Linked DNA regions of Tamandua tetradactyla. The protein of the gene in region 1 purifies or fractionates together with the protein of each later gene. This does not show direct contact. Links are inferred from orthologs where the notes say so. Each region holds a gene or a part of one and is shown on either strand. Other genes may lie near its edges. The genes, in order: CDK19, MED8, MED18 and MED23.

Evidence for each region.
Region 2: the proteins of CDK19 (region 1) and MED8 purify together in Homo sapiens (affinity purification with mass spectrometry; 6 studies listed by BioGRID and IntAct, counting the BioPlex papers as one, with this or other methods). This does not show direct contact. The link is inferred for Tamandua tetradactyla from reciprocal best matches to the Homo sapiens genes CDK19 and MED8.
Region 3: the proteins of CDK19 (region 1) and MED18 purify together in Homo sapiens (affinity purification with mass spectrometry; 5 studies listed by BioGRID and IntAct, counting the BioPlex papers as one, with this or other methods). This does not show direct contact. The link is inferred for Tamandua tetradactyla from reciprocal best matches to the Homo sapiens genes CDK19 and MED18.
Region 4: the proteins of CDK19 (region 1) and MED23 purify together in Homo sapiens (affinity purification with mass spectrometry; 5 studies listed by BioGRID and IntAct, counting the BioPlex papers as one, with this or other methods). This does not show direct contact. The link is inferred for Tamandua tetradactyla from reciprocal best matches to the Homo sapiens genes CDK19 and MED23.

Annotation. Positions count from the first base shown.
Region 1 is NC_135331.1:169,436,214-169,443,439, forward strand, and holds the start of CDK19 (cyclin-dependent kinase 19), read right to left. Parts: upstream 3,015-7,226; 5' UTR 2,817-3,014; coding exon 2,689-2,816; intron 1-2,688.
Region 2 is NC_135328.1:180,671,420-180,678,391, reverse strand, and holds the start of MED8 (mediator of RNA polymerase II transcription subunit 8), read right to left. Parts: upstream 3,023-6,972; 5' UTR 2,996-3,022; coding exon 2,915-2,995; intron 1,677-2,914; coding exon 1,558-1,676; intron 860-1,557; coding exon 715-859; coding exon of another isoform or gene 698-714; intron 1-697. Other genes in the region: KICSTOR complex protein SZT2, read left to right, coding at 3,117-3,143. UniProt on the Homo sapiens protein: Component of the Mediator complex, a coactivator involved in the regulated transcription of nearly all RNA polymerase II-dependent genes.
Region 3 is NC_135328.1:197,874,029-197,881,004, forward strand, and holds the start of MED18 (mediator of RNA polymerase II transcription subunit 18), read right to left. Parts: upstream 3,009-6,976; 5' UTR 2,889-3,008; exon of another isoform or gene 2,763-2,888; intron 2,174-2,762; 5' UTR 2,102-2,173; coding exon 2,029-2,101; intron 1-2,028. UniProt on the Homo sapiens protein: Component of the Mediator complex, a coactivator involved in the regulated transcription of nearly all RNA polymerase II-dependent genes.
Region 4 is NC_135351.1:31,606,261-31,613,098, forward strand, and holds the start of MED23 (mediator of RNA polymerase II transcription subunit 23), read right to left. Parts: upstream 3,021-6,838; 5' UTR 2,884-3,020; coding exon 2,836-2,883; intron 2,481-2,835; coding exon 2,449-2,480; intron 2,279-2,448; coding exon 2,191-2,278; intron 1-2,190. UniProt on the Homo sapiens protein: Required for transcriptional activation subsequent to the assembly of the pre-initiation complex. Component of the Mediator complex, a coactivator involved in the regulated transcription of nearly all RNA polymerase II-dependent genes.

The DNA.
Region 1 (7,226 bases):
ATTTTAAGATTTTGTAAACTATAGTATCAAATTTTAAGCAGAGGCTCTTCTAATGATATTTTCTATTAAGTTACTTCTTCCAATGATTCGTCTACAGACCTGAACAATTTTTTAACTATATATTATATACAACAGAATAATTTCTCTTTAACAACACCATGTGATTTCTCTTGTTTCCTAAAATAGCATTATACATTTTTCTGAGTCAACCAAAATAAAATCTGGAAACATCATGATCAGGGTGTAAAATCCTTTACTCAGGAATTCTGCATCAGTTCAGAGCCATCACTAAAAACTTTCTGTTCTTTCAAATAGCTGAAATCATAAAACTAATAAAATAAAAAAATAACGTCCTATGAGCCCACAAGAGATGTGTTTACTGTAATGCCTCAACTCTCAACCACATTCTAGATCCAGGAAAAAAATGTATGGTTTCTCTAAAATGCAATATAGTGATTTAAGCTAATGCTTCTAAATCCTAGTTAGAAAAAAAATAAAAGCATATTGTTTTGAAGATACATAAACTAATCTGCTGTGATGAAACCTTGTTAATCTCTTAAAGCAACTTTATTATTTCTAATCAAATAAATTTCACTCAAGAAGGAAGTGTATTTGAATCAAGGACTTTATTAAAGGAAAAATATTCAAAAAGGACAAACAGAGGCGGGAATTAAATTATCTGGGTTTTTTGTTGTAAGTCTGTGCTATACAGATACAACTCTGAATTAAAATTTTAAAAATTTTAATTTTTCTGAAAAGTTTGATAAAAAGAAGCTAACAAAAAATTAAAATACATTATAAAATTCTAGACAATATATACTACAAAGCATGTGTGAAAAGAACCACCTTTTGATTTATTTTGTAACATCAATGTCCAAATAAGAAAACTTGATGTGCTTTCCCCAAATATATATGACTCCTACAAAAATAACAGTGTAACGAGTGGATATTCAAAAAACAAAACTAAATTAAAAAAAAATAAAATGAATATCATATTCCATGATATTCATTCAAGACTACCTGGTGATTAAAAGAATTGAGAAAAGTTTACAAATAACTGAGTAGTATAGGGCCTCTGACATGAGAAAAAAGATATCTGCAAAAATAATAGTCCATTACATTTGTATAGTGCTTTGTATTTTCCAACATACTTTCACAGAAACCACTTTCTCAAGTGTCAAGTCTCATAATTCCTGACACCAATAATCAATCTAGACGGGGTAAGGAGTGCAAACGCCTCCCAACACTTTATGATAACACCCTTTATAAAGTTATGTTCAATAGCACGATCGTGTGCACACACGCAGGAACATACGTACATACATACACACACACACACACACACACACACTCTTCCTACTTTGGTCCTAGCATTCATAAATCAACCATATCAAATTGCTACAGAATGCACAGAACGATAAACAACACTACAAATCTACTAATGTCAAAGCGGCTTGTAATCAGTTTATTCAGAAATGTTTTTATTCAGAAATTCTTTAAAACTCTCCTTCCTACAGTATGACCGAATGTAGAGAATAAGGGGGCCAGACAGATCTTTCTTGGCTCCCTAACCTGGGGGAGGGGAATTCCTGCAAGGATTGGACATAGGATAACAACTGGTTTAAACCTACATTTCGCAGCCAAGGACTTGGTTCCACCTGTCCTGCAGTAAGAGCTCGTCTGCCCTCAGGATGTACGTATGTCAACTGATAACTCAGCTCATCTCCTAAGGGAACATTCCTAGGGGGTTCTACAGTTCTCCCTAAACTTCCAAGAAAACAAAGGTTTAGGCCCAACTCTGTCGCCCCGTGTTTCTTTCTCGTTACTCTAGGTGCCCGGTAAGCTCCAGCTCGCAGTCACCTGGCAGAGGATAGAGTGGAGGACAGAAGAGCACCCAAAGTGGGGGAGAATGGAGGGGGGGGGAGCGGGGGTACCAGAGAACCTGGACCAACTCTGAAATTCTGGCGCACAAAATCGGGTTAGTCTCTAGGGAGGTCCCACATTCGAGGGAACGTGCGGAACTCTGAATGCTTGAGAATGCGAAATCTGAGGCGGGCGAGGAGGGGTCAAGAAGTCACCGGGTACACGACTGGGTCAGAAAGGGCTGTGCTGAAGGCTCAACTCGGGCAGGCTGGCCCCCGGGGCGGAGGTCGTGTCTGGAGGTGGCGATGCCGACGGGTCAGACCCCGGAGGCTGGCGGGGACCCCGGCGCTCGGCCGCCCGGCCGGCTCCGCTACGAGGTTTCAAACCGCCGCCCCCGGGAGGGGCTCAGCCGATTGGAAGTTCAACAACGACCGTCACCAACCCAGGGCCGGAGCGGCAACTCCTTGGCGGAGCTCTCCCCGCCCTCCGCGTCTCCCCAGGAGACCAGACCCCACAAACTCCACCTCCGACCGAGGTTCTAACTCGAGTCCGCCGCGGCTCCAGGCACGCGCGGAGAGCGCCCTCCGGTACCGCACCGACGGCCCCCGACAGGAGTGCGCCGCCGGAGCTCGAGGGGCGCGACGGGGCCTCGCGGGAAGGCGCGCAGAGGAAGCCTCCCTCAGAGTCCGCTCCGGGACGCGGCCCGGCGACCACCTCCGCCGCGCCCCGCGGCACAGCCCGACAGGGCTCCCACCCACCTATCCCGCCGGGTCGCGGGCAGGGCGAGGACCCGAGCGAGCCTACTCCCCCCGCCCCTGCTCTTACCCATCTTTCCGCCTCGCCTTGTAGACGTGCCCGTAGGTGCCGCGTCCCACTTTGCACCCTTCGTACTCAAACAAATCCTCCACCCGCTCCCGCTCCGCCGCCAGCTTCGCCTTGAAATCATAATCCATTGTCTGTTTCCCCCATAGAGGCACCGGGACGCGGGGGCCGCCGCCGCTCAGTCCCTCCTCCTCTCCTCCTCCTCCCCCCGCGACCGCCGCTCCACTTCTCCAACAGCCGCCTCTCGGGCGCGCGCGCGCGCGCCGCCCGCCACTCCACGGTCCGCCTTCAGCAAGGGGTTCCTCGGCGGCCGCGGCAGCCACCTCCTCCACCCCCTCCTCCTCCTCCTCCTCCTCCTCCGCGGCGGCGGCGGCTCCCGCAGGCAGCCCCAGTCCCGCCTCCCCCCTTCATTTCCTTGTTTTGGAACCTGGTGGGCCGCGCCACGGCTTTCTCGAGCTCATTAACAAACCAGCCCGCCCCCCGAGGCCGCGAAGACTCCTGGGAAATGCAGTCCCGAAGGCCTCAGGAGCGACGGAGGCTTGTCCCGCGAAAGAAATACAATTCCCATGCTGTCTTGGGCTTTCACAGCCTCGCCCCCAACAAGGCACGCACGCCTGCGCACTGGGACCGCCCCACCCCCTCAGGTAGCCGTGCACTCCCAGTTCCTGTGAAGGTGGAGAGCTGAAAGTTGCGGTGTATTATTTCACCGCGGTCCTATGGGTACTGACCTCAAGATAGCCCTTGTTCTGGTGGAAGTGTCATACTCCACTATGACTGTCCCCGGGCGAGTAGAAGAGTGGAAAGTATTTAACAAGTGCCTTGCTCAGAACTTTGCTCCGATGGTTTGGGAGACGAGTAGTGTGGTTGGAACAGTTGTACAGCAGATTGTTTTTGCTACGGCATTTGGTCCGCCTGTTGCCCCGCCACCGTCCGGCCGCTCATTGGCGGAGACTAGAGAATAACGTCCTTGTTGGTGCCTGGGTATCCCCAGTCTTTGGCTTCTTTCCCGCTCGTGATTGGAAATTCGTTGTGCTGAGTTCTTCCTGATAGGCTAATCTTTTTTTCTTTACAATGCAAAAACCGTATTTCAAATGCGGAATTCACAGCGGTTTCCTAGTTGTTGCCTTGGTTTGAGGAGAAGATATAACTTCTAAGCCCCAGTAGCCAATCACCCTATTCTAGGCGCTGTAGTCGGTCCCCTCCTCGCATCACCCACCTTCCCCAACATCTGCGATTCCCGTAGTGCCTGAAGGATGCAGCGTTTTAAATAACAATCGTTTTGGTTGTATAGAAAAGGGGGTTTTATGGTGTATGCAAAGTGATGAGGGTGTCCTAGAAAGTTCAAGGATGTCTCTTTAATCGGTGTGAACTATGATTTATTTCATTACTACGTCCATGAAATCGTGTATGTTTGGCATACAGATGAACATAAACGTGATAGGTGCTAGGATAGGATTCAGGTACCGCATTCAGTGGGAACCCAAAGGAAGGAATAGTCAATGCTAACTCAAGTGGTAAAGAAAGCGAAGAGTGAGTCCTGCCTACTAAGTTTTAAAAGAAGCCTGGAAAACTAGAGGGAGGAAACAGGATCGTTTATTTACAACAGCTCCTCCCTAGGAAACTTCTTCAGCTCTTGATGATATTTGCAATCAAGTAGTATCTGAGTTTCTCTTATTGCCTGGCACTGTAATCAGTGCTGGAGATACCAGATGAAAACTGTTCTTTTCCTGACTGGGAACTAAAATCTTTTGAAGTAACATAAAAGCATTAAAAAGCTGTTTCAGGGGGTATGGGGATTAATGCTTAATGGATGTAGGGTTTTTGTTTGAGAAAATGGAAAAGTTCGAGTAATGAAAAGTGGTGCGTGGATCACAATATTGTGAATGTGATTAAGTTCATTAAATGGTGTGGGTGGGAGTGGTTGCGATGGAAAAGTTTATGTTTTATATATATATAATATATTTATATATATACCCACAATTAAAAGAGAAGAAAGTGCAACTAAAGAGACTGACAAATGCAGTACATGATCCAGGATGGGACCTAGCAAGGAAGGAGAAAAGGCCCTAAGGGACATTAATGGGACATATAAAAAATGTAGAATATAGACTAAGATTTATATCAATGTTAAATTTCTTGAACTTGGTTTTTGCACTTAAGCTAGTTACATAATGAATACCTTTGTTCTTGGGAAATGTACATAGTCATATTAAATGTTGGGGGAACATGAGAATACAACCTACACTGAAGTGTACAGAGAATGAATAGGTAGGTGTGTAGGTAGGTTGATAGTTAGAGAGATAGATAAATTTAATAATATAGTAAATGTTGCAAAATTTTACATCTTGGTATGAGTTGTAGAAGTATATTGGGTTTCTCTGTATGGGGTGCATATTATTTTTGTAACTGCTCTGTAAGTTGGAAAGTATTTCAAAATTTAAAAATAATAATAAATAAACCGTGGGTACAAACAGTAATAGGAGTTCTTAAATCTAGGTGCGTCGGGGTAGGTGTCACAAAGGAGGTAGTTTTGAGCTAAAATTTAAAGTTTGGGTAGGGCTTTGCCTGGCAGACAAATGAGGGAGTAGGAAGCAGGGGAATTATTTCAGAAAGAGCAGCAATACATATATTATGAGACAGCATATCTTCTAAGATAAGCAAAAAGTTGAAATAAAACAGACCAAGGCAGGAAAATGAGGTGGATAGGAAGAGAGATGGGATTCTCTGGGCTTGGAGTTGGTTTGCCTCAACATGGCTAAATGCACCAAGCTGGTTGGAATGGTAGGTACATGCTGGACGCGGATGGCCCCTCCCTCAGGAAAATGGTGAAGAAAGTTGAAATCAGCTAGCACGCTAAGCGCACATGTTTCTTCTGTGGTAAAACCAAAATAAACAGAAGAGCTGTGAGGAGCTTTCAGTGTGGTTCTTGCTTGAAAACAGTCACCGGAGGTGCTTGAGTCACCGTGAGAGGACTGGCGGAGATGAAAGACATTGGAAGCTCAACAATTTGAAACATCTCTAGTCTGTAATAAATGAGTTAATTTATGTTAAAATAAAAAAAAAGAAGTCAAGGAAGAGAAGACTGGACAGATAGATGATTAGAAGTCAAGTTATGACAAGGTAGATTTAGCAAGCAGAGGTGTAAGATTTCATAGGCAATATGGGAGGTATTAAAGACATTTGAGCTAAGGAGTAATGTAAATCAGTCTTTTGTATTCAGAAGATCTTTCTGACAACACTGTTCCAGACAAACTGAAGGAAGGTAAGAAGAAAGTTATTACATTAGTGTTTGGGCCCAGACTGAGTCACACAGAGCACAGGCTGGTGCTGATGCAAGACTGAAAAACATGCCAGGCACAGACATATATGTAGATTTATTGGGATTTAAAAACAGGAGAGGGTCTCAGTGGTGGCTGGTTTGAAGAAATAGCACTCCACAAGGAATAGGGTGTGTGTGTGTGGGTTCATACACACACACACACAAAGAGTAATATATGATTTTAGAACAAAGACATTCCATGTAGTATGAGGCCATTGAGTCTCTAGAATAATCATTGAAGGGGCCTAAGAGCTGATGTTTTACTAAGTTTAGTGTTTAAGACTCAGATACAATCAATACTGTTTTTACATCTGTGGTTACATTCCTCCCCCTCCAGGGAGATTGTTTACTTTCTTGACCTTTGTTCTCTCCTAAAGCAGGTGTATTAGGGCTGTTTAGGAGGGGGGCTGGGCCCTGGGCCACCACAGTTAGTGCTGATTGAATACAAAGTCTGAACCATAAAATATGAAAAAAAAGGCAGATACCAGGATTATGTAGGAATAAAATTCAGTAGACTTGGTAGGTAATTAAATGTGGGGTTAAAAAAACATGGAAGAATCCAAGATAACTTCTAGGATTTTTAATTCAGTAATCAGATTTTACCTTTGGAAAGGAGTAGGAGGAATTTCTGAGAGAAAGATGATGAGTTTGGTTTCGTACATCGTGACTTTGAAGTGCCTGCTTGGCATCAAGATAGAAGTAACAGTTAAGCAGGGGAATAGTTTTACCTGTAAATCAGAGATCAAGCCTAAATGTGTAGGGCTTTGGAAGTCATCAGTGTATGATGGTGGAGCATGGAGATCTTTCAGTTGCTTGCTCTATGTAAACATGGGATTTTTGCATTCATTATATCATTTAAATGTGAAAATATCCCTATAAAATATGTTCAAAATATCCCTATAAGATGTGTTCTACTGTTTTTCCAATTTTATATGTGAACAAACAGACAACTAGTAAACTGCACAGCTAGGACTTACTGAATATATTCTTGGGGTAAATGGAAAGTCATAAATGTGTAGGTAGGAAAAAAAATCAAATACGGATTATAAAAAGCTTAATTACAAACTCAAAAAGTTTGATAACACTCTTTGTTATCAAGAATATGGGGAAATGGATACTTTCCTGTGTTGTCAGTGAAAGTGTACATCACTAAATGTATGTATATATCAATATGTATAAGTCTTTGATTTTAGCAACATCTATCAAAATTAAAAATGTATGT
Region 2 (6,972 bases), on another chromosome or scaffold:
ATTTTAGGTTTTTACTTCTAGCTGCTATAAGATACTGGAGACTAAAACAATATCAATTTAATGATTCAGCAATCATTTCTGTACGTTAAACCCTACCTTCTCTGTATTACTCCACCATCACCTTTGATCTTTCTATCCTACACATTAAGGGTATTGGCTACGGTCATGCTAAATCTTTCATGCTAGAAGGGGCTGTCAGTAATATGGAGTAGGGTGATGGAACTAGCTGATGTTCTGGCCAGGCTGGGCCTTCTAGGTTTCAGGAGTTATCTGGTCCAGGGACCCATCCGGAGGTTGTAGTTTTCTGGAAAGTTACCCTAGTGCACGGAATCTTTGTAGGATCTTATATTTTGCCCTAAGTGTTCTTTAAGATTGGCTGGAATGGTTTGGTTGGGGTTTGGCAAGTTATGATAGGTAGCAATGTCTAACTGAAGCCTGTGTAAGAGCAACCTTCAGAGTAGCCTCTCAACTCTATTTGAACTCTCCCAGCCACTGATACTTTATTAGTTACACTTCTTTCCCCCTTTTGGTCAGGATGGAATTGTTGATCCCATGGTACAGGGTTGAACTCATCCCTGGGAGTCATCTCCAGCCCACACTTTTTATTGCCACTCTTTATTCCATATTCAGAACTTCTATAACTATTCAACAATTATGTTCATGGCTCTCAATCAAGAACTTAATTTCGAAAGTGTACCTTTCTCCTCCTCTTACCATAAGATCTTCATCTCGGTCTGGGGACAACAACAGAGGGATGATGACCTGGTTACGGAACAGTGGTGTTTTTTCATGCTTTAAGACCTTGTTTAGAGTGTTCAACTGTCCAGAGAGCAAGGCAAAACTGTCCAGGACAGAAGGCCTGGGGGTAGTAAGAAAGTATTAGAAAGTTCCCCTCCTTCCCTCAGGTAGTTTCCAGTAAAGTAGCCTCTAAGTAGCCCCTATTCAGACTAGGAATATCCAGGCTCATCCCAAAGAGACTCACGGCCCTATGACTGATTTTGGGCAGTAGCCAGACTGGCTCACAGGGATGTAGGAAAGAGGGACACAGTTTCAATTTCTGACAAAGATGTAGGTAAAAGACAGTTCATTGTATGAATGGGCTGAGGAACAGTGGCAAAATAGAAACGACAACTTCACTACTATCGCTAAAAACTCAGAAACTTGGTAAAAGCTGCTTTTTCAGCCTGGAACAGGATCCACACTTCCAGAGAAGACTGGACCTAAAAGACCCAGCCACAGTTTGTGGCAACGGGTCCAGCATGAATAGAGCTAAAGTGGACAGGCTGAGAGAGAAGCTCCTAATCAGAAAAGATAGAGGGTAAGAATCAAAACCTAGCAAGAACCTGGGTTGGGAAACAGGACATCTCTTTATTTCCTTGCCACTGAGGCCCTAAACCAAACTCCAAATGTTAAATGTTGGGAAACCCAGCTCTTCACAAATCAAAAGATGTTTCCAAACTGATAAATGATTACAGCATCAGAGTTGACCTACCTGTCAGAAGGCCCAGTTCCACACTTACTAAACAGCCCTCCCCAGCCTACCTTGGCAACTCTTACCAGGTCAGCCGGTCATACTCGTTCTCCAACTTATAAATGAAACTCCCCAGTGAGTTCTTCAGATCAGCTGCTTGACTCAGCAGTGCATCTAATGATGCCTCAAGTTGTTTCTCTTCCCTCTGCATTAATAAAAAAAAAAAGCTGGCTACCCAGATTGATGTACTATGTCAACATACACAGATGAAGACATGACAATACCTGGTGAGGTAACAGAGATGAGCCAGGTTGTTTTCTGTCTTTGGTATTTTGGTTACAGATGCCATCAACCCTTAGAACTTTCAACCTATTCACCTTACCACAAATCCTCCTACCATCTGATTCCTTTCTCTCATCACCTCCTAATCCATGCCTGGTTTTCCTACGTAATAGGTACTCTATTCTCCGTGGGACTCATTGCCTTCTGTACACATGTACATCAACTTCCTTTAACCAACAATCTGCCTTGTAAGCTGTTCTTAACACTGACCACATCCCTGGGAAATCTGCCTACACTTGATGCATTCTCTGAACAGCAGCCCTGCCCATAAGCTTCACCTCCAACACAGTTCTTTATTTGCTTTCAAACTCCTTCTTGCTGAATCAATTTACATTCATTTTGTTTATTTATATGCCAGCATCCCTATGCTTCTTTCATAAGCTCACTCAACCTAAAAACATTTACTAAAAGACTACCAGGTGCAAGAAACTAAATGACTAATGAAACTCCACAAATGACCAGCTTCTAAGCACTAGATGAGCAATTTTAAACGCTTGGGGTCTGCGAAGCGTTTTCTTTCCATCTGTGGCATCCTATTTTACTCCATTTCTTCACCCTTAACAATCAACCGCCTAGGAAAAATAATGCAAAACCGTCCTGCAAACCCGCTAATATGCCTGACAAGAGCCTTGATGCTGGATTGATGCCACGGCCTCGGTTATAAATGGCTTGGCTTCCCCACAATTCCTTTCCCCCTCGGGCTTTTCTCCAGTTTTCTTTACAGAGAACAGCCTCCATTTCAACCTAGGCTAGGGTCTGCGTCAACACACCATTTCTTGAGAAGTCTTCTCTGGACTGCATCTCTGACTCTTCATTACAAATTAATTCATTCCTACACCCAAACAAGTCAGTGCTATCTCCTCCCTCTGAATTTAGCAGCAGTCTCTCTCCTATCAGCCGGGCCCCACCCCATCTCTCATCTGCACCGCCCACTTATCTTAGTGGTCTGCCTGGTCCCCCATGCCGCGTTCCCTTACTCATCAGCAACCGACCCTGCCCCCGCCTCACACAGCGAACTCCACACTCTCTCCTCAGCCAGCCCATTTTCGGTTACAGTAACCGAAGTTCGCCGGCTGTCAACAGGACCAACCTAGTTCTCACCTGCATGGCGATGGCAGTAGCGGCTGCACCGACTTCTTCTTCCGGTTTCCAACTCCGCGAGCCTCTCTGGAAGGGCTTCATTCACCAATCAGGAAACTTGGGACTCAGCCCTCCCACTCACTTCCGGATCCTGTCGCGGGTAGAGTAGCCGGGTCAGGGGTCGAGGGTGGACCGGCGTTCCCAGTCGAGGGAGGGTTGTGTGATGGCCTCGGAGCACCCGGAGCCGGAGGTAGGGGCGGGCGGGCCCAGCGCTGGATCCCTGGATCCGAGTGGGAGGGTTCGGCGGACAGGCGCTGTCGTGGTCTCCTCGGGGCCTGGGGGTGGCCCGGCAGCGTATTCCTTGGCAGGGACCAGCCCAACCCCGGAAGGCCTGACAACGGAACCGTTTCACCGCGGTCTGCAGCTTTCCCGGGGTCTCGAGGCGAAATTTTTGTGCTTTTTTTAACTGAAATTTCATCAGCGTCGCCGGTCTAATGCTTTTAGGGCTCTTTATTCTATTAGTGGTATTAACAAAGCCCGTGGTTTGAACTTCTAGTGTTTTTTTTTCAGTGACAACACGATAGTAGGCTTACTTTGCCGGTGTCTGCATTTCTTTAAAAGTTGTACTGCCATAAGCAAATAAATTAATATAATTCTAGCACTCATGGTTTTTGGAAAAGTAGTTCTGCTTTGTGTGAAAGAACATTTGAGTCGAATAAGACTGCGTTCCAATATTAGCCTTGCCATTTAGCAACCTCGGGCCAGTCTTATCTTCCCATATCCTGTTTCCTTCTTTGTAAAGTATCTACCTTATGTGGCGTTGCGAGGATCAGATGGGTTACACCAGAAAATGCGTTTGAAGTATTTACTAGATGCTAAGGATTATTATACAAGGAACTTATATACATTTTGTCACTCAGTACTTGTGCGTGGAACGTGACGATATCTATTCTCATTTACAGATAAGGAAACTGAGCAGTGAGAACGGTTAACTACCTTGCTCCAGTACGATTCACCTGGGTAGTAGAAGATTTTGGCGTTAGAATAATACTTAGCATGAATTCTTAGATATGGAAAGAACCACACCAGGAAAAGTGCTGAGTTTTACAAGCGATTGTACTAGTAGGTGGGAAGGGGCTGGGATGTGTGTAATAATATAAATGTAGTCATTAATTTATTGAATACTTACTGTATGCCTGGCACTATTCTAAGCACTTTACAAATCAATTAATTCTTTCAACTGTATATGAAGTAGCTTTTTCATAAAATCCCCATTTTTATATTTGGATTAAATATAATCCCCATTTTTATATTTGAAGAAACTGAGGCACAGAGATATAAAAGTAACAAAGTTGCGTAGCAAATGGTGAGCCAGGAGCAGGACTCAAAATCAGGTGGCTTAAGTCTAGATCCTGTGTTAACCATAATGTTTGTAACAATAAATTGTAATCCCTGTATGGTAGATCTCTGGCTCACTGGGAGATGGATGAGACTGACTATAGAAATTATGCCTTATTCAAAAGAATCTGACATGTTCACTGGGATGGTGAAGTAACCCACATATGCTTCAAAAATAATAATGATAAGAGAAACCATGGGACAATTTGGACTGCATTTAGGGATGGATTCGAATGAGAGGAAATGGAGGGATATAGTGGGGAGATACAGCATATCTTTTTAGGCAGACAATCTAATAAAGCAGCAGTGTCCAAAAGACATATGCAAACGACAGGCATAATTTTAAATTTTCTAGTAGCTGCATAAAAAGGTAAAAAGCAGGTGAAAGTAATTTTAATAATGTGTTTCATTTAACTCATTATTTCCAGAATATTACCATGTGAACATATAATCAATATAAAAAATTAAGAGATGTTTAACATTCTTTTTTTGTACCAAGTCTTCAAAATCCAGTTTGTGTTTTAAACTTATAGCACATCTATCTCAGTTTGGACTAGCCATATTTCTAATGCTCAGTAGTTCCATATGACTAGTGGCTGCTGTATTGAACAGTGCAGGTCTAAAGTAACTTGGTGTTAAGACACACATTCCTGGGAGTTTCCATTCAGCCAAAAGTTAGGCATTTGTTGAATTCTTGATTTGAGTTTCTGAAAATTTTATCTTAGAAGGTAAAGGAAATGAAGAGAGCTGCCCCTGGGCATAAAAAATGTGACTGACTTTTAGAGGTTGTTATGGTCCTGAGAGGATGATTGGGCATAGTCAGAGAGATGCCCTAGATTTAGAAAATCATTCATTCATCAAAGACTTAAAATATTTCATGAGTGCTGCTATAGACTCAGAATTGTGCTAGGTATCAGGATGGATACAACTGCATAAAACAGAAATATTTCCTATCTTTATGGAGTAAACACATACTGAATTATAATAAGCACTGCAAAGGAAAAATACAGAGTGAATGAGAATGTTTAATAGGGCCTCTTAACTACTCTGTTAAGTAGGGGGTGGGATTCAGGGAAGACCTCTTGGAGGAATGACATTTAAACTGAAGCCTGAGGATGGGTGAAAGTTGCCTATGAGAAAGTTAATGGGTGGAAGTTGCCTATGAGAAAGTTTAGGGAGCACTACCAGTAAAGGGAATGGCGAAGAAGCTTGGAGCTTTCAGGGAACTGAGAGGAAACAGCTGTTAGCATGGATACAATGTGACAATGAAAATAGCTAACACTTATTGAGTGCTTACTAAGTATCTTTTAATTCCCAGTTTAACAAACCCAGGAGATAGGTACTATTTTCCCTATTTCACTGATGAGGAAATTGAAGCATGAGCATTTTAAATAACTCTTATCAAGTCGTGCAGCTAATAGACAGCAGAACCAGCATTTGATCCTATGTGCTCTAGCACTAGAGTGCATGGTCTTAACCTGGGGACAGGAGTGGGAGGTGTATTGGTGAGAAATGAGGCTGAGATTGGAGAAGATTCCTTTGACTCTGTGCTGGAGATTCAGGACTTTGGCGTAAATATAATGGCAAGGAGGCTTCAAACAATTCAAAAGAAAAAAACTACCTTATTTCAATGGGAGTCTATTAACAGAAGATAGCACAAAGGTTGGAAAAAGTTCAAAAAAATAATTGATCATTCTTCTCTGCCATGCAGGAGACCCGGGTTTGATTCCCCATATATGCATCCCCCCCCAAAAAAAATCAACAAATGGTGCTGCAATAAAAGGATAGTCACATGGAAAAAGAATGAAACGTTACCCCCACCATACAGCATACAAAATACTACCACTACTACTACTACTACTACTACTAATTGACCTTAATCATATAGGGGGGAATACAAAAAAACAACAAACTAATGAGATGGGCAAGGTTTCATTCATCCTGGTGCACATGGTATACAACACAGTTCCTGACAGTGTGGTATTCATCCTGGTATTAATGATATGTCGGCCTTAATAAATGCCCCAAAGGATGATAGTCGTCTTTTTTTTTTTTTAACACATGGGCAGGCACTGGGAATCGAACCCGGGTCCTCAGGCATGGCAGGCAAGCATTCTTACCTGCTGAGCCACCGTGACCCAATAGGCTTCTTTTATCATTATTCTGACTCCCCTTTCATTGCAACAACATCCTTACAAGGTAAATGTTCTGGCCCACATTTATCAGTGAAGAAAGTGAGGCCTGGAAACATTAAGTAACTTGTTCAAAGTCACCTATTATAGCAAATAATAAAACCAGATTTGAATCCAAATCTCACACCCCAAAAACCCTACTTTGTCTTCTTTGTCAGACTGCTCTAAGAGTAATGCATTTTGAACTCAAGGAGTATTAAATATTGGGGATTTGAAACTGCACACGAATGTGGATGGAGTGAGAACACAGCTAATTTAGGGCTTCTCACACATTAATATGAAGGAATCACTTGGGGAACTTGCTAAAATGCAGATTCCTGAGCCCCATCAACTAATTCAGCTGGTCTGGGATGGTGCCTAAGAATGTGCATTTTTAATAAGCCCAAGAATGAAAAATGCCATTCTAGGTGCTTTAAAATTAGTTCTTAAGTTTTCTGGTTCTGATAAATTACATCTTAAATATAAAGGGAACTTAGGGATTATGTTTGA
Region 3 (6,976 bases), on another chromosome or scaffold:
CGTTCATAAGTATACACCATTGGTTGCCAATCTACTTCTCTATCAGTGCATCTTCTGCCACCTGCATTCATCAGGCATCATGTAGAAGGCCCAAAGTTCACAATCCATCAACATTCTCAATTTTAGATAATTTCATTGTTTCCAAGAGACAGAAAACCAATAAACACACCCTTGCCAAATAGGAAATCTAAATCTCCTCTTAACTCTTGTCCCTCACCCCATTATTTACCTCTGCTGTTGCTGTGGCAGTGCTGATGGCTTCCTTTTGAACATAGCTCATCGCATGCAACAGCAGTTTTCCCCTTGTAACCTGGACTTAAACACTCTTTATACAAGAATCACATCTTTGAAGTAATTCTTATGAGAGCTCATTCATATTTCTAGTGTGAATCAGTGGGACACGTAGGTCTATACCACCCCTTTGAATCTTGATCATCTTCAATATGCTAACACTACTTCTAGACCCATTAGAGAATCACCTTCGCTCCTATCTATCCTCTTACATTCCTCAAACATTTTAAATGCTTAACAAGTGCTGGTTCATTTAACATATACCTACTGAAGGCTGTGCCAGACACTGTGCTAGGCAGTAGGAGGCCCTGCCCTGCAGAGATTAGGGCTTAGTAGTGAAAACACTAAAACACTAAGTAAACAAATTAACAGAAATACAAAGAAATAAAAGAGAGACGGAGTAGAGAGCAACTGGTGGGGATGAAGGAAAGAACTTTCTGAGGGGGTGGAATGGTCAGAGAAGGCTTTTCTAAGGCAAGAGACAATTGACCTGAGACCCAAATGATGAAAATGAGAACGTCATTTGAAAGCCTGGGAAAAAAGTATTCAGAGTAATTTTGAATATGGACTAGGTATTACATGACATTAAAAATTATTCATTTTGTTAAATGCTAATGATGGTATTGCGATCATGGAGGAAAATATGCTTTTTTTTAAGAGATACATATAGAAGTGTTAAAGGATGAAATGTTATGATGTCGAAATTTTCTTTAAAAATATCAGCAAAGGAAAACAAATGAGGCAAATATGGCAAAATGTTAGCATAGCTAGATGATGAATATGGAATATTCAGTATACTAGTCTATTTTTTTATCTTCATATTTTTTATAATTTTTTTTTTAAAGATCACCGGCTGTTGTATGACAAGGGACAAGAGAGGAGCAAAAGAGGAAGGAACATTAGAAGCAGAAGGTTAGTAAAGTAGGTCAGACAAGAGATGACAAACTAGGGCAGTGGTATTGCAGGTGGAGAAAAGTCATATTTAAAATACATTTTGTAAATAAAGTAAAAAAGACTTAGACTGGATGAAGGAGTAAAATGAAAAACAGATTTACTCCTAATTGCTTAGCTTAAGCAACAGGTAAATAAGAGGGCCACTTACTGAGATGTAGAAGAAGGAAGGAGGAGCAAGTTGGGAAGTAAAAATAACCCTATTCCCAGCCTATTAAGTTACTGAATGAATTATCTGATTTAAAGTCTAAACTCTCCACTAAACATTATATGACCTTCTGAAAATCATTACCTTCTCTGTTCATATCCTGAAAAGGGTCTGGATTACACAGGTGAATGCATTTGTTAAAATTCATGGAATGTCCACTTAAGACTTATGTACTTCATTGTATATAAATTTTACTTCAGAGAAAATAACAAATTTTGAACTCTAATTTTATGCATGCTCAAGTACTTAGGAGAAAATATACTGAGGTCTTCAACTTACACTGAAATGCATAAAAAATAATATGGACTGATGGATGGAGAGATGGACAGATACATAATAAGGGAAGTATAGTAAGTGAAAACTAGAATGAGGGTAGCAAATATACAGGGGTTCACTGCAGAATTCCTTGAAGTTTTCTGTATGTTTTAATTTTTTCATAATAAAATGCAGGGACAAAAAAAAGGTGGCTACGGAGTGCCAGAAACTGCAGGCTGCTTTTGTATTAACAGTCTCCCATCTCCAGGGAAACTGAATAAGATAAAGGGAGACAAATCATCCAAGTTCTCTGGTTCACTTACCTTGCAGCAGGTACTCCATCATGTTAATGGTGCCCCCAGTGACAGGCATCATGGTGACTGGAGGAGCCTCCATTATGTCTGACTGATTAAGTCAAAGACAAAAGAATCAGACTCAGCCCCCAATCAGGTAAGGCACAGGATACACCTGAGAAGAGTTAGAGTTGTTTATACATCAGTGATGGAGAGATGATGGGTCTGCTTGCGTAACTGGCCTTAATATCAAAAGATTCATCAATTTTTTTTTGGTAATTGCTATGTTAGACAGGTCTTTTTTCCAAAAATTGATGATACAGAAATATACAGGACTGACCTGCTCCAGCATAATGTTCTCGTCCCAAGTTCTAAATCCTCCAAAACCTAGCTGTGTAATCTTGAGCAACCTCTCATGCTGGACTCAGTGTCTTCCTAACAGTAATGAGGCAAACGATACCTGACCCCCAAGTCTGTGTAGCTCAAATGACATAATGCACGTACAATAAAATTCAAAAGAACTAAATTTTAAGAAACGTTGTCTACCCTTCCTTTTACACACGAAAATACTGAAACCAGGAGAGAGGCCCGAGGATACAGAGCAAGTCAGTGACAAAGCTCAGGCCAGACTGAAACCCAGGGGTTCTGCCTCCTAGACACTGAAAGCGCCTTTTAAAGTGAGTGGGGGGGGGGGGGGGGGAAGCGAAGTCCTTTTAAGATGAGGTTTACTCCTAAATTGGCTTCCAGAACACGTGCCCACTTACCCACTTACACTAGAAATACAACTTAGCGGGCGCTCTGGCCTCTTCTCGCAAAGTCAGGAATTACAGCCACCCACGCACCTCGGAGCCTTTAAGCACAGCTCCAAGCAACTTCCAGTCCCACGTTACCTAAGCAGGGAAAGCGCACGGCCAAGCACAACCACAGTAACCACTCTTCTTCCCGCTTCCGGTAGGACGGCAGACGTCTACCAAATCCCTCAATGTACGGGTGCCGAGAGGGCACGAAACACCGTCTTCCGCTGTGCAAGCAGACGAGCATGCGCAAGATCTGATGCTGTTGTATGGAAGATGGCGGCGTTCCTATGGGAATGATCCGCGGTCGTGACGTCATTTTTTTTCCAAGTTCGACGACCTGGAGAGGTTTTTATGTAGGAAATCTCCTGGGGCTGATAGGACTGAAAAAAGAAATCATGCCTAAACTTTGGACTCAGAGCAATGCTTCTCAGAGAGGAAAAGAGAACCTGGGGAAGGGAACTGCAAAGTAATGAGAGGAGAAGGGGAGAATGTTATAAAAGAAAGACATTAAAAAAAAAAAAGCCATTTTTGGGGGGTTACCCAAGGGAGAAAAATGAAGACGCCACTGTTATTCATTACTGAAAACTTTTATAATGTTCTTCTCAATTAGGGAAGTCAGTAATACACTTAATGTTTGTTCACTTTTCTTTGTAAATGTATGTTATACTCAATATAAAAATAAAGGGAGATAAGTAAATTCAACAAATACTTATGGAAAGCTGCTTTTATATCAAGCACATAAGATGAGGGCAGGGCCGGGACCAGGGTGAGACCTGTGAGGCACTCTCCTGGGGCACAAATTTGAAAGAAGTGTAAAGACAAAAACAAAAACAAATGACTAAGCGATAAAAATGATATTTTACAAAGTTAAAGCAAAAAATCCATAGTTAACAAAATATCAAAATTTAAATTTTAATCCTCACAGCATCCTGTCATTTTACAGGTGGGAAAATTTAGGCAATGAGATGTTTATTAACTTTCAGGGAAGGAGTGAGACTTGAATACAAATCTAAGTAGCTGACTTCAGAGTTCACACTTTTACTACAGTATATTGTCACTCTAGATATGGTTCCCCTACACTATCTACCATTCTTTTTTTTTCTTCTTCTTTTTTTAAATTGGGAGTCTTCTGTGTTCTAAATATTCTGCTACTTGTTGATTTGACTCCATTTCTACCCTCAGAAGAGTTTATAGTCAAGTTGTCGCTATTGGAGAATTAAACTAAGGAGACAGCACCATGTAACTTGATAAAATGGGTAAATATAAAGTAGCCCAGCTGCTTTGGAAGCAAGCAGGGTACTTGACCCATCCTGGGAGGATCAAAGGGGGTACCCTGAAAGAGGTAATTAGTACTGGATGAACTTGAGGTGATGTTGCAGAGTTCTGGGAGTTCTGAGAGGTTGAGACCTCAACCAGCGGCTGGCTCCGTGAGGGCTGTTAACTCAGTCACAAGAAAGAATTTAAGAGCTAATCAGTATGTGCAGCCAAAAGCTTAATAAACTAAATGCCAGACAGCCTGGGGAGTTCTCAGCTGGATGCTGGAGAGCCCCAGGATTTCTCAGAGACCTCATCCAGGACCTGACATGATGCAGGTTCTTCACTGAGCCACAGGAAATAATTTGAGGACTGGTCAGTGTTTAACTGTGGTAGTTTGAAACTGTTATGTACTCCAAAAATGTCATGCTCTTTTCCTAATCCAACCTTGTGGGGGCAGACATATTGTTTAGGGTGGAAATTTTGAATAGATTGTTTCCATGGAGATGTGACACACCCAATTTTGGGTGTGACCTTTTGATTAGATGGAGATGTGACTCCACCCACTTCAGGTGGGTCTTGATTAGTTACTGGAGTCCTTAAAAAGGGAGACATTTTGGAAAAGGACAATTGCTTCAGAAGCAACTTAGACACAGACCTTTGGAGATCAGGACAGAAATAGCCCAGGTGTTAAATAAGAACTCACAGAAATAGCCAAAACCTGAAGAGAAGAAATCTCTGGCCCCAGGAGATGCTAAGCTAAGAGGTGAGACCCAGAGTTTTGTCCCAGAACGAAGTATGATCCCACAGACGCTTAGAGAGGAAGCAACTGGAATCAGAAGCTGGAAGCAATGAAACTGAGAACAACCAGCAGATATTAGCCACCTGCCTTCCCATGTGACAGACATTGACCTTTCTTTGGAGTCAAAGTATCTTTCTCTGGATACCTTAGAACTTCAAACTTGTAACTTAATAAATCCCCTTTGAAAAAGCCAATACATTTCTGATAAATTGTATTCCAGCAGCTTAAACAAATTAAAACAATAGCCAAAATGTTTAATGACTAGCGAAAGTGCACCCTCAAAGGGGGTGAGCATAGGTGTTCTCCAAAGGAGGAGAGCACTCTGAGATTGGGACTACTACATTATAAGACTTAGAGGGGCCCTTCCCCTTCTATTAATGTTAATAAGGAATTGATGAGCTGCACTTTTCTTTGGTTCTTTTCAGGTGCTGACCTGAGTGAGGGCTAGATATGTGCAGGCCAAGAGGAACGGGTCCCTCCGCCCACCCCTTCCCTTTCCAGCTGCCTCAGAAAATTAAATAAGAGTTGGCCAGACAGTGAATGGCAGAAAGGAAGTTCCAGGCAATGGGAATATTATGTACAAAGGGATATCAAGTTAAGTAGAATTGGTACATAGATAGAATCTATGGAAGGGGTAAGAAAGAGTCTGGAGAAGCAGATAAGGCCCAAATCCTGGAGGACTTTGTATGGCAGGCTGAAAAACAGATGTGAATTTTAAAAAGATCACAGGGGTTGCAATATGGAGAAAATCTTTGGAAAGGAGACCAGTTAAGAGCTATGGATCAACTCTAGCTAAAAGAGTACTCCAAGAGAGAAGACAGATTTAAAAAATATAAAAGGTGTAATGATTTGATGACTAAGAGATAAAGGCAGAGAGAGAGAGGAAGGAGTCACAAATGTCTAGTTTCTACCTTGGGTGGCCATGGCAATTCTTTTCTCTGAGCTAGGAAACACGGAGAAACGTGAGTGGGTCAGAAAGATGAGTTCACATGTATACACATTGAGTATGAGTGTTTATGGGGCACTCAAGTAACAATGTCCTGCCAAAATTTAGGGGAGAAAGAGCTGGGCTAGAGGTAGAGTGTTCATAATTCTTGCCTTATAGATCATAGATGATGGCATGAGAATGAATGAGATCAACCAGGAAGAGTGTGTAGAAGAGGAGAAGATGGCCAAGGACTGGCCCTTGCATAAGCCTCTTACAGTTATTAAGGCTGCATATAACTCAGGATTTAAGATGCACCCCTGACCACACTAGTGATTCACAAGATTGGTCTGAGTGATAAATTCTCAATGACAAAATGACTGGAGGAGGATGTAAAAATACCGGGCCTCTCCTTTCCTATTCAGACACTAACTTCAGAACAGAAAGACCAGTGAATTATAGGTTCTTTGAGGCACCATAGTATTTATCCCAAAGTTTAGTTGGCATTTCACAGTAGATGACATTTGGTTAAATAATTTTTTTTAGAGGGATGAATAAGAACTGGGTGAACATGGGCAGGCCACGGTGGCTCAGCAGGCAAGAATGCTCATCTGCCATGCCAGAGGACCTGGTTTTGATTCCCAGTACCTGCCCATGTAAAACAAAAAACAAACAAGCAAACAAAAAAATGGGTGAACAATATGGTAAAATATAGATGAGGCCTTTGAGTTATAGGGATGGGTTTCTTTGATAAGATATAAGACTCGTTGATTAGAATTGGGCTCAAACCTGCCACTACCACTATCCTGCTGTGCAACTTTAGGCAACTTACTTCCCTTCTCTGAGCCTCAATTTCCTTTTGAGTAAATTGGAAATAATAATAGTAGTTTATAAGATGAAGTTTGTAAAAGTAAAAGGGCATAATGTTTATAAAGTATTATTTATATACTTTATATATTTAAAGTAAACATCTCAAGGGGAGGAATCCCATATTTCTTTATACATGTTCTCAAAAATTATGTTGATCACAATTATTGAGCAGCTGCTACATGCTAGTCATTTTATGCTATATAGTTATAAATCTTGTAAATACTACTAAAAGCTAGATACACCTTCTCCACTTTATAGTGAAGGAAAAAGAGATTCACAGAAGTAAAATGACTTGCCTGAGTCCACACAACCAATAAATGATGTTTACAA
Region 4 (6,838 bases), on another chromosome or scaffold:
ACAAAAGATCTACTGAAGGGTCACAATACAATTTTAGGCTTTTCCTTCTAGCTACTCCAAGACACTGGTAACTAAAAGAAATTCAATATAATGATTCACCAGTCATACTCACTCATTAAATCCTATCGTCTCTGCTATAAACCATACCAAACTCTGAAATCTGTTATACAACTAATTGTTGTGGTGTGCTTTGAAATTTATTGCTTTTTTGGTATATGTTATTTTTCACAAACAAAACAAAACAAAAAGATTTACTACAGGAGGAGGGAAACAACAGGTATCTCACACCTTTTGAGGTAGTCAATATTCTGGCTGTAAATTGACCCTCCAGATACCCTGAAGAAGTAAGAGAAGTAGTGCCTTTAACGGCAGATATAAATGTTGCTGTCTCGCTGGGGGGAAAATCCATTATGGATTAGTACATCAGCCTCATGAGAAGTTAGTATAAATTTAACCCCTAGAAGCCCAATCGATTATAAATCCAATTAGATATCCAATTTCTAGTCTAGCAAAGCTTTAAATGTGACACTAAAACCCTGTGCCCCTATCAGAATTTGTCTTCTGAGATACACCCAAGAAGATCCTATACATCCTCTGTATTACCACTGTCCCTCATACATACTTGTATTATTGATGTGACACAGATTCAGAAATATCCATTTACTTCTTGGCACCTCCATTAGTACTTCTTGAAGATGGGACCATACCTTAAGTCCTAAAACGTTTACTAAATTTAGAACTAAAACATGCTGAAAAGATGTCGAACTTCACTCCAGAAACATGAAATAAAAGCATACTGAGATAAAATTTCTGACTTATTAGATTGGCAAAGAGCATGAAGTTTATTAACACTCAATTGTGAAGCTACAAGGAAGAGACACTCTCTTACATAGCAGGTGGGAGTGTAAACTAGTACAACCCTTATGGAAGGCTATTATGCAATTTTATAAAAATTACAAACAGACAGGCCTTTGACCCAGCATTTATTCTATGTCCTGTGCAAACTATAATTCGTTACAGCATTGTTTAAAGTGGAAAATTTAAGAGGCAATGAAAATGTCAGTTCATAGACAAAGAGTTGAATAATGAAGACATGGACATACATATTAGGCTGCTAGAAGAAAGGGAAGACTGGAGGGAAGGTGGGAGGAAGGAAGGAATAACTCTTACTGGACTGATGTGGAATTACCTTCAGTTTTTATTATCATGGGGAAGAAAACAAGGAGCTAACCAAGCATACACAGTACATGACCATTCTGTAAGTACAATTCTATATGCATAAAATATTTCTAAAAAAACAAACTGGAGACACTGGCTGCAGAGAGAAAAAAAGAGCAGGTGATTAAGCTAAAAGAGTGACTTTTCATTGGATCCTCCCTTTTGTATTTTCTGAACCACATAAATGTATTACCTATTACAGAACAATTTTTAAAAATTTTAAATCTGAATGCCTTATGACTATGTGACCCCTGCCTGTGAAGTCTAACCACCAGTGGCTCAACCGCAAACAGTTCTCATTTTCCTATCTTAATGTACTATGAGAAGATTATATACTACAAACTATAAGGATCACACATTTTGTCTTCTTCAGGGACACAGGTCTTTTTTTTTCCCAGTAACTATCCTTTGTTACTATGTTTTACTGCACTTTTTACATTTTTAATACATTTTTTGTATCCTTTAAATTGGATATCTTTGTATCTTTATTGCATTACCTTTGCATCTTTACTATGGTATCTTTATCTCCTTAACAAATTTCTCTATTAGTGTTGTGATAGTTCCTTCATCTGTTGAGTAAAGTTGGTGACATTTTTATCCTTTTACAACGCCCAACACAGTTGTCTTCAAGTGCATCAAATAAATCAGAAGAATTAGTGAAATGATCTTAATCTAACAGGGGGACATTCAACAAATATCAAATAAAGAATCTCATTATAGGTTAGCGAAAATATCTCAACACTGTGCGGTCGGTCATCAACTTGACTTCTCAAGATAGGTTCTTCATTGAAAATAGGTAGATTAAAACAAATGTAAGCCAGAATAGAGAAAGAAAGAAAAGACAATGACAATTTTATTTCTCCCTTTCCAGAAAAATGGAATGACGTTCCTAACAGCAACATCAGAGTAAAACTCAAGGAAAGAAGAGGTCCCAAATCATCAAATGAATGTATTAAAAAATGCAATGCTCACCTGAGAAAGACCACCCCAAAACTGTCTGAAGGCCCCCAAACAGCTGATAAGTTTTGTTTTTTCATCTTCAGGCGTATCCATAAACATACTAAAAAAAAAAAAAATTAATAATGAGATTATTTGCCACTAGCTTTAAAAAAAAGTGAATTCAACTTAACCAGGATAGTCTATATTATAATCCTCCAAGACGAACCTAAGTCGTCTTACAAAAGCACCCTCATGTTTTTTACACAGAAACCTGCCATGCACTATACTCACCCAGGGAAAGCCTCTTCTATAACTTCTGTTTTCTGTGGGGGTTAAAAAAAAAAGGCAAACACGTGAACGATGTGAATTAAAAAAAAAGGAGTGGGAACTGGGGGGAGCTCCCCTAACGATTTATTACAATGTAGCATGACAATCACCCCGATCAGCGACGCAGAATGTAACAATACTAGCCAGGCCTACCACAAAGGATGTGTGGATTTCAAAAGAGACCCCGAATGACAGCACTTGACAATCACAACCTCCTGCACACATACATACTCCGTGTGAAAACAAGGGGAGGAGAGCGAAGCGGCTGCCCAGGCCGGGCTCGTGGGTCCGCGGCCCCGCTGCTTTCCCCACCCCGACGCGTCGCCCTGGGTTCCGGGCCGCTCCACTCACCACCACCTCCTCAAAAATGCTCTGCAACTGCGTCTCCATCTGTACCATTGCCCACGCCTTGTGGGGCGAGCGGCTCCCGGAACAGACGGCCGAGGGGCTGAGACGCCCGAGGAAACCTCAGCTCGCCCCGGGTTTCCTCCGCAGGTGCCCCTCCCCGCGCGTCTCCTCCCGGCCCCGTAAACAACCCGGACCTGCACGGAAGCTGAGAACAACCCGGTGCGCTCCGATGGAGGAACTCCCAGAAACTACGAGCCGGCCAGCCAGTTCCGCCTGTGGTGAAGGGCGGCCCGCGAGCCGCACAACAGCGCCCCCCAGAGGAACCTCGAGTACAAGTCACTCGGAGGCGTCGACGGCTGCGGGGCGCGCCCTGCAGGTCAGAGTGGGAATTACTTCCTGCTCCGGGTTAACGCTTCTGCAAAAGGTAGAAAAAGGGGCGCGGGGGGGGGGGGCATCCTGGAGCTCCGCGAACAGCGGGTGTTGAAACCACACTTTTTCTGACGACAAGGACCATGTTGCTTAACTATGGTGGCCCAGGTGCCCGGACTCAGAGCTGGCTGTAGGCTTTCGATAAAGATTGAAAAAAAAATGAATAGCTATCATTTTTAGTTATAATCATCTAAAAATAATTGCCCTTTATTCAATACCTGCAGCCTCTTTATGGGGATAGGAGTGGAGAAAGGTCAAAGGTAGGTTGATCCTCTGGAGGTCAGAGCAGAAGGTAAGTGGGACCGCTTCATTCCTTCAAATAGTTTAATTTTTATACCTTCATGAAGCTAGCCTTGCTCCCCTAGAGGTAAGTGATTTATCCTCATCTAACATCTTGTATGCACCCGTAGCAGAGCATTCCACTTACGCAACACTTATCCTCCCTCTGCTCAGTGCACTGGTAGGTATTTTAATAAATTGTATTGAAATAATTGATTTTGCAGTACATTCAACCCAGGAAAATAACAGAGCCTGGGTTATTAAAACCCAAGTTCTCTAATAATCTATTGTTATTTTCTTTATGGAAAACAGATTATCTGTATTTCAGATTATCTTTAATCATACTTTAGTTCTAGACAGTTTTCACCTATTATGTGGTGAAAACTCTACCTGCTAACTAAATCAGTGTATTCTTGGCAAAATGTCAACTAATCTTAATATTGACCAAGGCTTCTGTAATTACAAAGGTAAAATGGTCAGAAAACAATTCCTTTTTTGCCATAACCAAATGCAAATTAATGTTGCATTACGCTTGCTAATGCTGCATTCATTGAATAAAAATTGACTATCCATTTCCAGACCTACTTAATGTGTTTTTCCCTAATACTTTTAAGATTTATGTATAATTTACATATAATAAATGCGTGAATTTTAAATTGTACAGAACCATGAATTTTGACAAATGTTCGCACTTTGTGTAACTATCACTCAATCAAAATATAGAAAATTTCTATCACCTCAGAAAGTTCCTGGTGCTCCTTTGCAGGTAACTCCCCTTCCCAGAAGTAAACAGTTTTCATTTCTATAACCATTGATTCGTTTTGCTTGTTCTTGAAATTTATATCATTGGAATCCTACAGCATGTAATCTTTTGTGTCTGCCTCCTATCACACAACATTATATTTTGAGATCCATCCATATTTGTCATTGCTGAATTGTCTTCCATTATATTTATATGTAGCTATTTATTGATTCACCTTTGATAGATATTTAGGTTATTTTCAGTTTTTGATGATTATGAATAAAGTTGTTGCAAACATTCTCATACTAGTCTTTCTGTAGACATATATTTTCCCCACTGTTGGGTAAATACCTAGGAGCAGAATTTCTGATTCATGTTTATGTCAAAGCATATGATTAACTTTATAAGAAATTGCCAAACGGTTGTCCAAAGTGGTTGAACTGATTTGTCTCCCACTACTATTGGAGGAAAGTTCCAGTTGTTCTGCGTCCTTATGGACATTTGGTGTTGTCAGTTTTTTTTTTTATTTCAGTTGTTCTAAGTGGTGGGTAGCAGTATCTCCTTGGGGGTTAATTTGCATTTTCTGATTGACTAATGATGTTGATACCTTTTCATATCTTATTGGCCATTCTTTTGTGAAGGGTCTGTTCAAGTTATTTGTCCGTTATTAATTGTGTGGTTTCTCTTATTGTTATTTATTTGTAGGCGTTCTTATATAATCTGTATACAATCCTTTATCAGATATATGTATAGTGAACATTTTCTCCCAGCCCTGGCCTGCCTTTTCTTTTTTTCACTTTTTACATTGTATAATTTATATACAAAGCAAAGAAAGAAAAAAGGAATAGTTTTCAAGTAGTTGCAGGACAGATCCCAGAGTTGGTCATGGGCTATCATACCATCATCTCAGATTTTTTCCTTCTAGCTGCTCCAGAACATTAGAGACTAGAAGGAGTAAATATATTTTTATCATCACAATTGACTTTTTCTTTTTTGTGAAAAATGACATATATACAGAAAAGCAAAAAGTTTCAAAGCACAGCACAACAATTAGTTGTAGAACAGATTTCAAAGTTTGGTATGGGCTACAATGCCACGATTTTAGGTTTTTACTTCTAGCTGCTCCAAGATACTGGAGACTAAAATACCAATATAATGAGTCAGCAGTTATACTCATTTGTTAAATTCTACCTTTCCTGGATAACTCAGCCATCATCTTTGAACTTTCTCCCACTCTTTAGGGGTACTTGGGCTATGCTCATTCTAACTTTTTAATGTTGGAAGGGGCTGTCAATAATATGGAGTAGGGAGATGGAACTAGCTGATGTTCTGGAGAGGCTGGGCCCTCTAGGTTTCAGGACTTATCTGGTCCAGGGACCTATCTGGAAGTTGTAGGTTTCTGGACAGTTTTCCAATTGCATGAAACTTTTGTAGAATCTTACATATTGCTCTAGGTGTTCTTTGAGATTGTCTGGAATGATTTTAGTTGGGATTTGGCAAGTTATGGTAGGTAGCAATGTCTAACTGAAGTTTGCCTAAGAGTGACCTCCAGAGTAGCCTCTTGAATCTCTTTGAACTTTCTCAGCCACTGATCCCTTATTTGTTCCACTTCTTTTCCCCATTTTGGTCAGGATGACATTTTTGGTCCTACAGTGCCAGGCTAGACTCATCCCTGGGAGTTATCTCCCATACCACCAGGGAGACTTTCACCCCTAGTTGTCATGTCCCACGTGGCGGGGAGGACAATGATTTCACTTATAGAACTGGGCCTAGAGAGAACGAGGCCACACATCTGAGCAAGAAAAGAGGTCCTCCAGAAGTTGCCTTTTCATTTTTAGATGATATCTTTTGATTAGGAAAAATTTTAATTTGATGAAGTCCAATTGAAAACTCTTTAAATTTTATGGTTAGCATTTCAGTGGCCTAAGAAATCTTAGTCTACTTTGAGGTCATGAAGATATCCTCCAGTTTTGTCTTTTTTTTTCCTCAGAGGATTTATGTTTTAGCTTTAATGTTGAGGGCCATGATCCATCCTGAATTAATTTTTGTAAATAGTGTACAGTAGGGGTTGAGACTCATTTTTTTCCATACGCTTATACATTTGTTCTAGTACTGTTTGTTAAAACAATTTTCCTTTCTTCAGTGAATTTCCTTGTATTAATATAGGTCTAATAGGTTTCTGGACTCTCTCCTAATGTCAATATCACACTGTCTCAAGTACTATAATTTAGTAAGTCATGAAAAAGGATAAGGTATTTTCTTCAACTTTTTTTTGAAGCTCATTTTGACTATTATAGATGTCTTTTGCATTTCTGGAATCAGCTTATCAATTTATCCGAAGTTGGGAGGAAACATACTGGTATTTTGATTGGAATTGGATGGACTCTGTAGCACAGTTTGTGGGCAGTTTATAACTAAACAATACTGAACCTTTCAATCCATGAACATGATAGATCTCTCCTTTTATTTAGGGCTTCTTTAAATTTTATTGGCTCTATTTTGTGGTTTTCAGTACACTAGTCTTGTATATCTTTTCTTAAATTTATTCCTAAATAT